Saccharomyces cerevisiae S288C: one gene and its partner. Changing the gene in region 2 together with the main gene of any one other region gives a genetic interaction. Each region holds a gene or a part of one and is shown on either strand. Other genes may lie near its edges.

The links. A genetic interaction does not mean that the proteins touch.
Region 1: mutations in HEL1 (region 2) and YGR153W together harm fitness more than expected from each alone (negative genetic interaction), as found in Saccharomyces cerevisiae (one large-scale study listed by BioGRID).

What each region holds. Positions count from the first base shown.
Region 1 is NC_001139.9:793,523-798,404, forward strand, and holds YGR153W (uncharacterized protein), read left to right. Parts: upstream 1-2,569; coding exon 2,570-3,223; downstream 3,224-4,882. Other genes in the region: Ras family GTPase RSR1, read right to left, coding at 1,152-1,970; GTO1 (omega-class glutathione transferase), read right to left, coding at 3,276-4,346.
Region 2 is NC_001143.9:471,194-475,159, forward strand, and holds HEL1 (E3 ubiquitin-protein ligase HEL1), read right to left. Parts: upstream 2,157-3,966; coding exon 501-2,156; downstream 1-500. Other genes in the region: MIC60 (Mic60p), read left to right, coding at 1-146; YKR018C (uncharacterized protein), read right to left, coding at 2,530-3,966. UniProt on the Saccharomyces cerevisiae protein: Probable ubiquitin-protein ligase involved in the degradation-related ubiquitination of histones. Contributes to the post-translational regulation of histone protein levels by polyubiquitination of excess histones for subsequent degradation.

The DNA of each region.
Region 1 (4,882 bases), on a different chromosome or scaffold from region 2:
AATCCCAACAATAATGCAATTATTCACCCATTTTTCACAAGCAAGCAAGCATTATGAGAGAAGAACGAATGTACAGTCATTTAGATGATAAGATTGGAAGTAGGTCATGATAGTCAGGATTATGTAAAGACACTTGGTGTAACCCTGTATCGGCTGATTTATAATATCGAGAAAGATAATATAAGAAGCGCCTGAGAGTCAGTGGATCGATTATCGAAAATAGAATAGAGACGTTCACGGAGACCCACTGAATGTTTCGTATTAAAGGAGGGATGACTACTAAACCATTTTCACCGCTACTGGTGGCCATTTTGTATTCTTCCATTTACAAGAATTGCTCCCGACTTTTGTTCCATCAGTGGACGATAGACCATTGTCAAACACAGTAATTCTATTTTATTCTTGAGATGAGATGCCGCAATATGACCTGATATGAATCACCCTAAATGTCCGATCTAAACAAATAAAAGGCGTGCGAAACAGCCTCACGACGAGATATGAAGTCGAAAACATCGGCCTAATTTCTGTGCTTTTTAGAAGACTACTCAGATTTTCAATATCAATACAGTGAGTTAGATCTCAGGTTGAGAAGAAACACTTTGATTTTACTAGATAGGAAAGAAAAATGGACTAATTAATCAATCATTTTGTCATCGTTGAAACTTGATAACGCACGCTAAACGATAACGACTATGTTGGAGGGAAAACATTAACGATTACTCTTTTAAGTAATTGCGAAGTATATCTGAGACTAAAGACCCTCTGAATTAATTATATCAATCAACATAAACTATAAGAAACTACAGTGTGAGCTTTAGTTACGAGAGTGTGGATCTGTTCATTTAATATTTTTTATACGTAACGCAGCATCTACCGTAAAATCCCATAGATTGCGGGCACATGGCGCAGTTGGTAGCGCGCTTCCCTTGCAAGGAAGAGGTCATCGGTTCGATTCCGGTTGCGTCCATATTTTTAACATTTCATTTTTTTTGGGTTTAAATTTATTTTCAAACATTATTAATTGATTTCTTTAAAAACTTATACAACGTATGCTAATACTTTAAACTAAACCTTTTAGAACTATAATAAAACTATTTCAAGTAAAGTCTTTTTATCTGATATCTTGATTCATTTATAATAAAATTAAGTGACTATAGAATAGTGCAAGTGGAAGCGTTTTTCTTCTTTTTCTTTTGTTGTGAAGTAGCGCTAATTCCTGTCCTGTTGCTAGAACCAGATTTCGGAACGGCATGTGACGGTTTGTGCTTTTCATTAACCGGAGTAGATTGTTTAACTTTAGCTTGTCCTTGTGAAGATTTGTTATATAAACCTTTTGATGATTGCTTATTGTTTGATTGTTTCGTATCCTGTTTCGCAGAACTAGGGAGCCTGGTTGATGGAGACTCGATTTTGCTAAATTGTTGACTTTGATTTCTTGCGTCTTTAACTGCAACACTTTCCATTTCATTCCGAATGATTTGCCTAACTAAATCAACGAACACTTCATCCACATTGCTCCTCAACAAAGCGCTTGTTTCATAAAAGGGAACTCTACCCCATTTACTGCTTACCTCTATACCTTCTTCCACACTTATTACCCTTTCATTGATTAGATCAGCCTTGTTACCTATTAGAACCATTGGAACGCGATCGGAATCTTTGATCCTAAGGACCTGTTCTCTTAGCTCCATTAATTCTTCCAAAGATTGCCGATCTGTTACTGAATATACCAACAGGAACCCCATTCCTGACTTTATGTATAATTCTCTCATTGCAGTAAATTGTGCTATACCCGCTGTATCTAAAATTTCCAGGTCGAATACCTTGTTATCGATCTCGATGGTTTTCCTGTAAGAATCTTCGATCGTTGGATCATACGTATCCAAATAAACTCCCTGTACAAACTGCACGGTTAAGCAGGATTTACCGACACCACCAGCACCCAATACTACTAATTTATAGTCTCTCATTAGTCCTAATGTTTCCTAGCCAAATATTTCTAAGCGATGATAGAAGCCAAAATATTAGAACGTTGTATGTAAATGTTCTATATCGTTACTAAATAATAGTATTATTGTTCAGTGGAGAGGATGAAATTTCAAAAACTTCTTGGCGTAGTTAAGAACGAACGCAATGGTTCTTTTTTTCGAGATCGAGCTCTACTTTACTTTTTTCTTTTTCTGTCCTTCTCTCTTTTCTTTTTAACCTTTTTCGACGATATTTCGCGTTTGAGAATGTCGAGGATGAATGCGCTTTGACGCGAATTAGTTGTGAGGCTGACGTTGTGATAAAAAGGCGATGATTCTTGGGAATATACAGTCTGTTTCCACTTGCTAGATAAAATGTATGATATTCCAAAAATGCCTTTCTCTATTGAACTGTATGACTGAGATACGCCTGCTTTTACCTTGTATATTATGAGTACTATTCGCCTTTTCCCATAAAGTTGTTTTTTTCTGGGGTTTATGTGTATCGTAAATGGTACAAAATAATAAAATTCTTATCTTGAAAATACTGTTTAATACTTTTCATCATTACTAAATAGGTTACGAAAAGAGGTCTTTGAGAAATGGGAAAGGCCTGTTTGAATAAAGAAGTCGGCACTTACGAATGTGAGGGGGAAAGAGATACCTACTCATTTTTTACCTCTCTCTCAGATATACAGGATTCAAGTAGTAACGAGGAACAATGCGGTGTAGGAAGTATATTGAGTGAAGATAGTTTCACGTTTGAAGGGTCCAACGTGAGCATACGGTTATTTTCCTTGGACTTAAATGCCTTGAATGAAAATGAGAATGGATCCAAGAATCCTGTGAAATTTACCATTCCGCCAAAAATAGAACAAAGAAAGGAAGCAAGACAAAGAGAGAAACGTTTAAGGAGGGTGGCAGTACTACCTGAGAATTCGAGAAACTACCTTGTTGAATCAAGTATGGATTCAAGTAGGGAATACAGTCAACCATTTTTTGACTGGAGGCATGAAATGGTAGAACATGGAGAGGAGAGTGTAAAACCGTGTGGTTGTCATAAATCGAGAAAAGCAAAATGCTTCAAAGAACTGGAGATGGAGAATATAGAAAAGGGCGATATAAAGAAGAGTCTCTTTTACAGAGACATAATTGAATGGTGCAGAGACTATGAAGTCAATAAAACTAGGGAAGTCTGTGTTCCGTCTATACACGAGTTTTACCTACATGGAAATGGAAGTGACAACCTCTTTTGAAGTATAGCCATGCATATAAATATATGTGTGTGTAAGAAAATATTAGAAGTTTTCATAATCTAGAAATGTCAGGCTTTGGGCCTAATGGCACTATACCAAACTGATTGATCTTGTTCCTACTTACTTCCATCCTGATGTAAAAGAGCTTAATATGATTAAAATCTGTAGTAAATCTAAACTCTGCGTAATTCCAGTATAGATTAATCAACCACAAATGAAGGTACGGGAAACCATCCCTTATAGTTTTCAAATTGCATTTGAAGTGCTGCACGTACACGACGTCAAATCTAATTATTGATGGATACAATCTGATATCCGCTTCAGTTAACCTCTGTCCTAAAACAAAATATTTAGCCAAGATTTTCTGTTTGTTACCACTGAATTGCTCCTCTAAGCGCTTATAATTTTCTTTTAGTACACATTCCATCTTCTGCAAGTTTTCAAACAGTGTTTTTACTTCAGTTTCGTAAATCTTTCCGTTTTCTGCTAATCCGACTTTATAGACACCAAGATTAATCTTCGGATGAACCCATTTGATGTTCTTATCAATCTCGTCTATTAAATCATGCGGAACTAGATCAATCACGTTCGTTTCTTCGCTTTGGATAAATTCATCAAACACGCCACTGTTCAAAATTCTTATGATATCGCCACTCTCATTGTTAACAATTTTCCTTGTTTTAGAATCCCACAGAACAGGCACAGTGAACTTTGTACCGGGGTACTTAGGATCATTTAAGTAGTACAACTCGCTTAACCTTGATATATTTTCCACCGGGTCGAAAGCGCCATCCACGAACAACCTTGCAGAGTCATTGTTCACATCACCTAACTCCTCAGATTCGTCTAATTTAGCTGAAGCAATGCCACCAGTGGCAGTAAAGAATCTCTCTTTATATTTTTCCGGCCGGTGTGGAGCAGGTAAGAAACGGGCACCCTTGGAGTCTAATTGCCAGTGAGATAACACAAGCCCTAGAACAGGTTCTAATTTCTTCAAAGACCTGGCAAGAATGGCTCTATGAGTGAATGGACACCCAAGGGCCCCGTAAATATAATACCTTCCTTTTTCTGGTTTAAAAACAGAATGTGTCTTAGAAATTGTTCCCTTGTAAGATACTGACATGGCTTACTGTTTATGATTATTTTTACGAGTATTTTCCTCTATAAGTGGCCATCTCTCCAATTGGCAAAGTCAAGACTTTTGTTATGTCAATATGTGCTACCAAAAATCAAGGGTATTTTCCCACCAGAGCTTATCAATGGCAACTGTGAGATATGAACAGCAGTTAGTAAGGGTGTGTTCTCATCCGACCCTCTGATTCATTTGGTGGCCATTACATTTTCCCTCAATGACACATTCCCCTATTTCATAACTGATTAAAATGGTAATGGCACGTGATAGTAGTGGCTCACAAAACAAAATTTTCTTTCTCAGCGCTGACAAAGCTTCATTTGCATTCTAACCTTATCACAACAACTTCAACTTCACCCAAGTAAGGATAATCAGCTCTGTCGTGACTGATAAATGCTATATCCGGCATATGCAGTCCACACGGCATTACCGTTTCACTAATTTATTGCCATCTTCCTCCACAGTTTTGCACCGAAAGGAAAAAAAGAAACCAACACCGAAAATTTTTTTCTCCTAAAGGTTAAAGT
Region 2 (3,966 bases):
CCAACCTCAACGATGCTGTAGAAGAGGTTGTCTCCCTAAAGGGTTGGCCTCATAAAGTTTGCGAAAGCTGGATCGAAGATGCTAGAAGAAAATTAGAAGTCCAGCGCCTGGTAGAGATTCTTGACTGTGAAATAAGGACGTTGTGAAAGAATAATACAAAGAGAAAAGAGATGTACGTCATTACACCTCAATTTCCACTTTGTTTAGGAGGCTTTAATAAAGAAGAACTAAATACCTAAAATGTAAGTTAGCTGTTACTCGTCATTTCCGATTCAAAGAATTTTGAAATCTTTTTAAAACAATATAACTTTGTAGGAATTGGAACAACAATGTGTATATAAATAGTATTTCAACGACAAATACAGGTTCAAATAAATAAAAAAATACGAAAATATACAAAAATGCAACAACGTTTAAACTCCAAAATAACCAAACATCCCGCAGTACAAAAAACATGAATAAAACAACAGAATAACCAAAACAATACTAAAACAAAACATTCATTCTGCAGCTTTGCAAATTCCCTTACATAGCAGTTCTCTACCGCATTCCATTAATGCAGTGGTTCTATTTTCCACATATCCGGCCTTATTATAAAACTCTGGTCTTCGTTTCATGATCACTTCGGGGGTTTTTATTTGCAATAGCTCCGATAGCGATTCCACTGCGTTGGCTAAGAGCATTTGGTTATCAACGAAAATCTTCGTCAAATTATGAGATGCATCCGAGTAATATGCCACGGCAAATGACCATTTTAATACGGTTCGTCCCTCATTCAACACTTTTAAACTTTCTGATAGGAACTGTCCATCAATCCATGAGATACCTATTCTTTCTTGTAGTGCATGAACTTTCGTGCCCAAAGTTTGCCCCAGGTTCCAATCAAGCTTGGCTGAAACTTCATGTTCGTTAAACAATCTATAGTAGAAAGTGTATTTCTTCAAGGTTTTATTAGCGTCTTGAGGGTTCTTACTTTTATTATCCTCATTATTCTTATACATTGTACATTGAAAAAAGTTCTTACCGTGGGGCGCCCAGGGGCCCTCACAAATCCAACAGAATTCGTATTTACAACTTGAGCAAACCATGTGGTTGCAGCCACCATTTTTTTCAATATTAACAGAACATTTTGGACATTCTTTAGTGTGGGACAAGACCCAATTCAAAATTTCTGATTCTTTTCTGGCTTTTTTAACCCAAGCAGTGGTTATTTTACAATCTGCTGGGGAATGAACTTCGAATCCGCAATTGAAACAGAATCTATGAAATGAATTACACTTAACGAAAGGTGAATAATGCAAACGGGTATATTCTGGTAATGATGACGTATCTCGCAAGTGCACGATGGATTTACAGTCAGCAAACGGGCACCATTTATAGTTACGATTATGTTTTTGAACAAAACTTTTGATTGAAGAATCCATCAACTTACTACTCGAAGGATGTCCCATCACTTTATCTATATCTTCATTTTTCAATGCCAGGGAACAGTCCATGCATGTAATGATGTTCCCCTCATGCAACTTATCCTTGATGTAATGACGGTAGCAATTGATACAATATTCATGGCCACATTCCAACGCAAATGTTTCCGTATCCTTTTTATCACAACAAATAATACATGTAAAGTCATTTTTGAATTCAACTTCTCTGAAATGTGAATTATAATCATTATCTTTCTTGATATTTGCTGTGGTACTTAAGCCAAGCTCCACAAGCAATTCGTCCATTTTTTCGGTCCAAACTTCTAGCAAACGTTCCTCGTTCCAATCATAATGCTGTAGTAATATCAATATATCCGCAGATGGAATTGCAAAAATAGGTTGTAAATGGTCAACCCTTTGAAGCATTCTTTCAAATATACCCTTGGTGGTTAAGCATTCATAACTGAGATTCGGTACACTCCCTTCACACAGTATTCTTTTGTTGTTTTTCGTAAGAGGAGCATCTAGCATCCCCTCATATATGGTATCGACTCCATCTTCATCTTCATTGATGTCAAATTCTGAATCTTGGCTTGTTACACTAATTAACTTCGGGAAAACTAGTCCATGTATAGTAAATTCAGATGTATTGTGAGATTCATAAAGTTCAATAGAGCTGGAATCACTTTCATCAAAACTATAAAATTGATCATTTTCGGTACCACTACTCATTGTTAAAAGCCTCTAACAAGTACACCCAAATTCGCTAAAGACAAATTAAATATACTTAAAGAATGGCTATAATTCCTGTATAGTAGCTGGGATAGTAACAAATCAATACAAATGTAGCTACCTTAAAACTAAGGCAGTACTCACAGCATTCTTCACCTTCCTCTCCTCTTTTCTAAAGCGGGTTCCTATTTTTTGCGCAAGGAGGAAGGACGATGGCACTGAGAAAGCATCAAATCGTATGTAATTAAACTACGCAAGGTATGTACGGTCAATAAGTATAGCTTAGCGCTTTAAAATTAGGTGGGACATTAGGAAAACTAATAGGGGAAAATATTTCTTAAAAAAAAGGGCATGAGGGCTGATCAAAACTTGATTACAATGAATGGTCAACGCGGTCAATGGCAGCCTTAATTTTCATACCTACTCTCGTACTCAATTCATAATCATCTGCGTAGCCCTGAGCCCTCAGTAACCATTCTTTACTCTCTGGAAGGCCATCCATGCCCTCCAACTTCCATGTAAATAGAGCACGTTCATAAAGTGCAGTCGGATAGGCCCATGGATCTTCAGTTTTCTTTATATATTTGACCTTGCCATTTTGAATGGAGAAAAACTTAGGTAGAACCTTTTCATCCAATATATCACAACCTTCTTGGATATGACCTAATCTTCTTAATGTCAAAGAGACCAAGAGATCTTTGATTAACTCCTGATCTGAGTCTAAAGCTTCAATGGCGGGATTTCTATACTCAGTTAGCATTTTCTTTGTTAGCTCCAAATGCTCTTCAGACATTCTATTATAACCATTGTAGAAGTACGCAATTTCGTGTACTGGTGAAGTAGCGATACCATCCAGAGGATTTTCCACCCCAAGTTCCTCCTTTTTCGCTTTAAATTGCTCAACTTTTCTCAGAATAAACCTATCTAATGGCAGGTTCTTCGATTTGAAGGTTTTCTTACCTAGCAAATTCACAGAGGTGAAGATAAGTTCTTCGGCCTTCTTTTGGTATTCATCCTTTTTGTCTGACTTCATTAATCCCATTTCGCACATTCTCCAATTTTCTAAATAACAGCAGCCAGCAAAATATGTGTAAAAAGCGTGTGACCAATCACTGATGTCTAATAGCGATAAAATATCTTCTGCAGCTCTATCGTATTGATGCAAATGGATCAATGTTATAGCACGGTCAAAAATCATCAAGGATTTGACCTGTCTCATCCGTATCTTGCTAACATCAATCGAATCCATCAATGCGACTGCTTCCTCTAAACGCCCTTTACCAGATAGCATCCTTGCCTCATTCAATAACCATAGCGCACTATTGGGAAATAGCGCTCTTGATTGCAGCAACGCATCTTCCAGTATTTTCCCAGGATGCAACAACGTAGGGCCATCCATCTCTTCATCTTCAGAATCTTCACTGTTACTGGAATCCTTAACTGCTGCAGGAATATCAAAATCATCGTCAGTGAATTGGAAAGGTCCATCATAGTAAAACATCAGGGCTAACAAACCAATACAACCATGCACGTTTCTTTGCTTTGTGGCTTTCCAAACAAGTCTCAAACCTTCTTCTCTGGAACCCCTGAATCCAACCACAGATAGGACCGCGCCAATAGCGGGTGGTAATAGTGATATCACAACCTGTAAAATACCAAAGCATAAATTGACACCAGAATGGACAAACTCATCAATTGTTGCTTGACTTAAATCTATATCATCCGAAAGAACTTTATGATCTGTTATTTCCTCTTCTGGCAAGTCTTCCATTGCTTGTAGTCCTAGCTCACCTCTCAACCTGTTAATTGC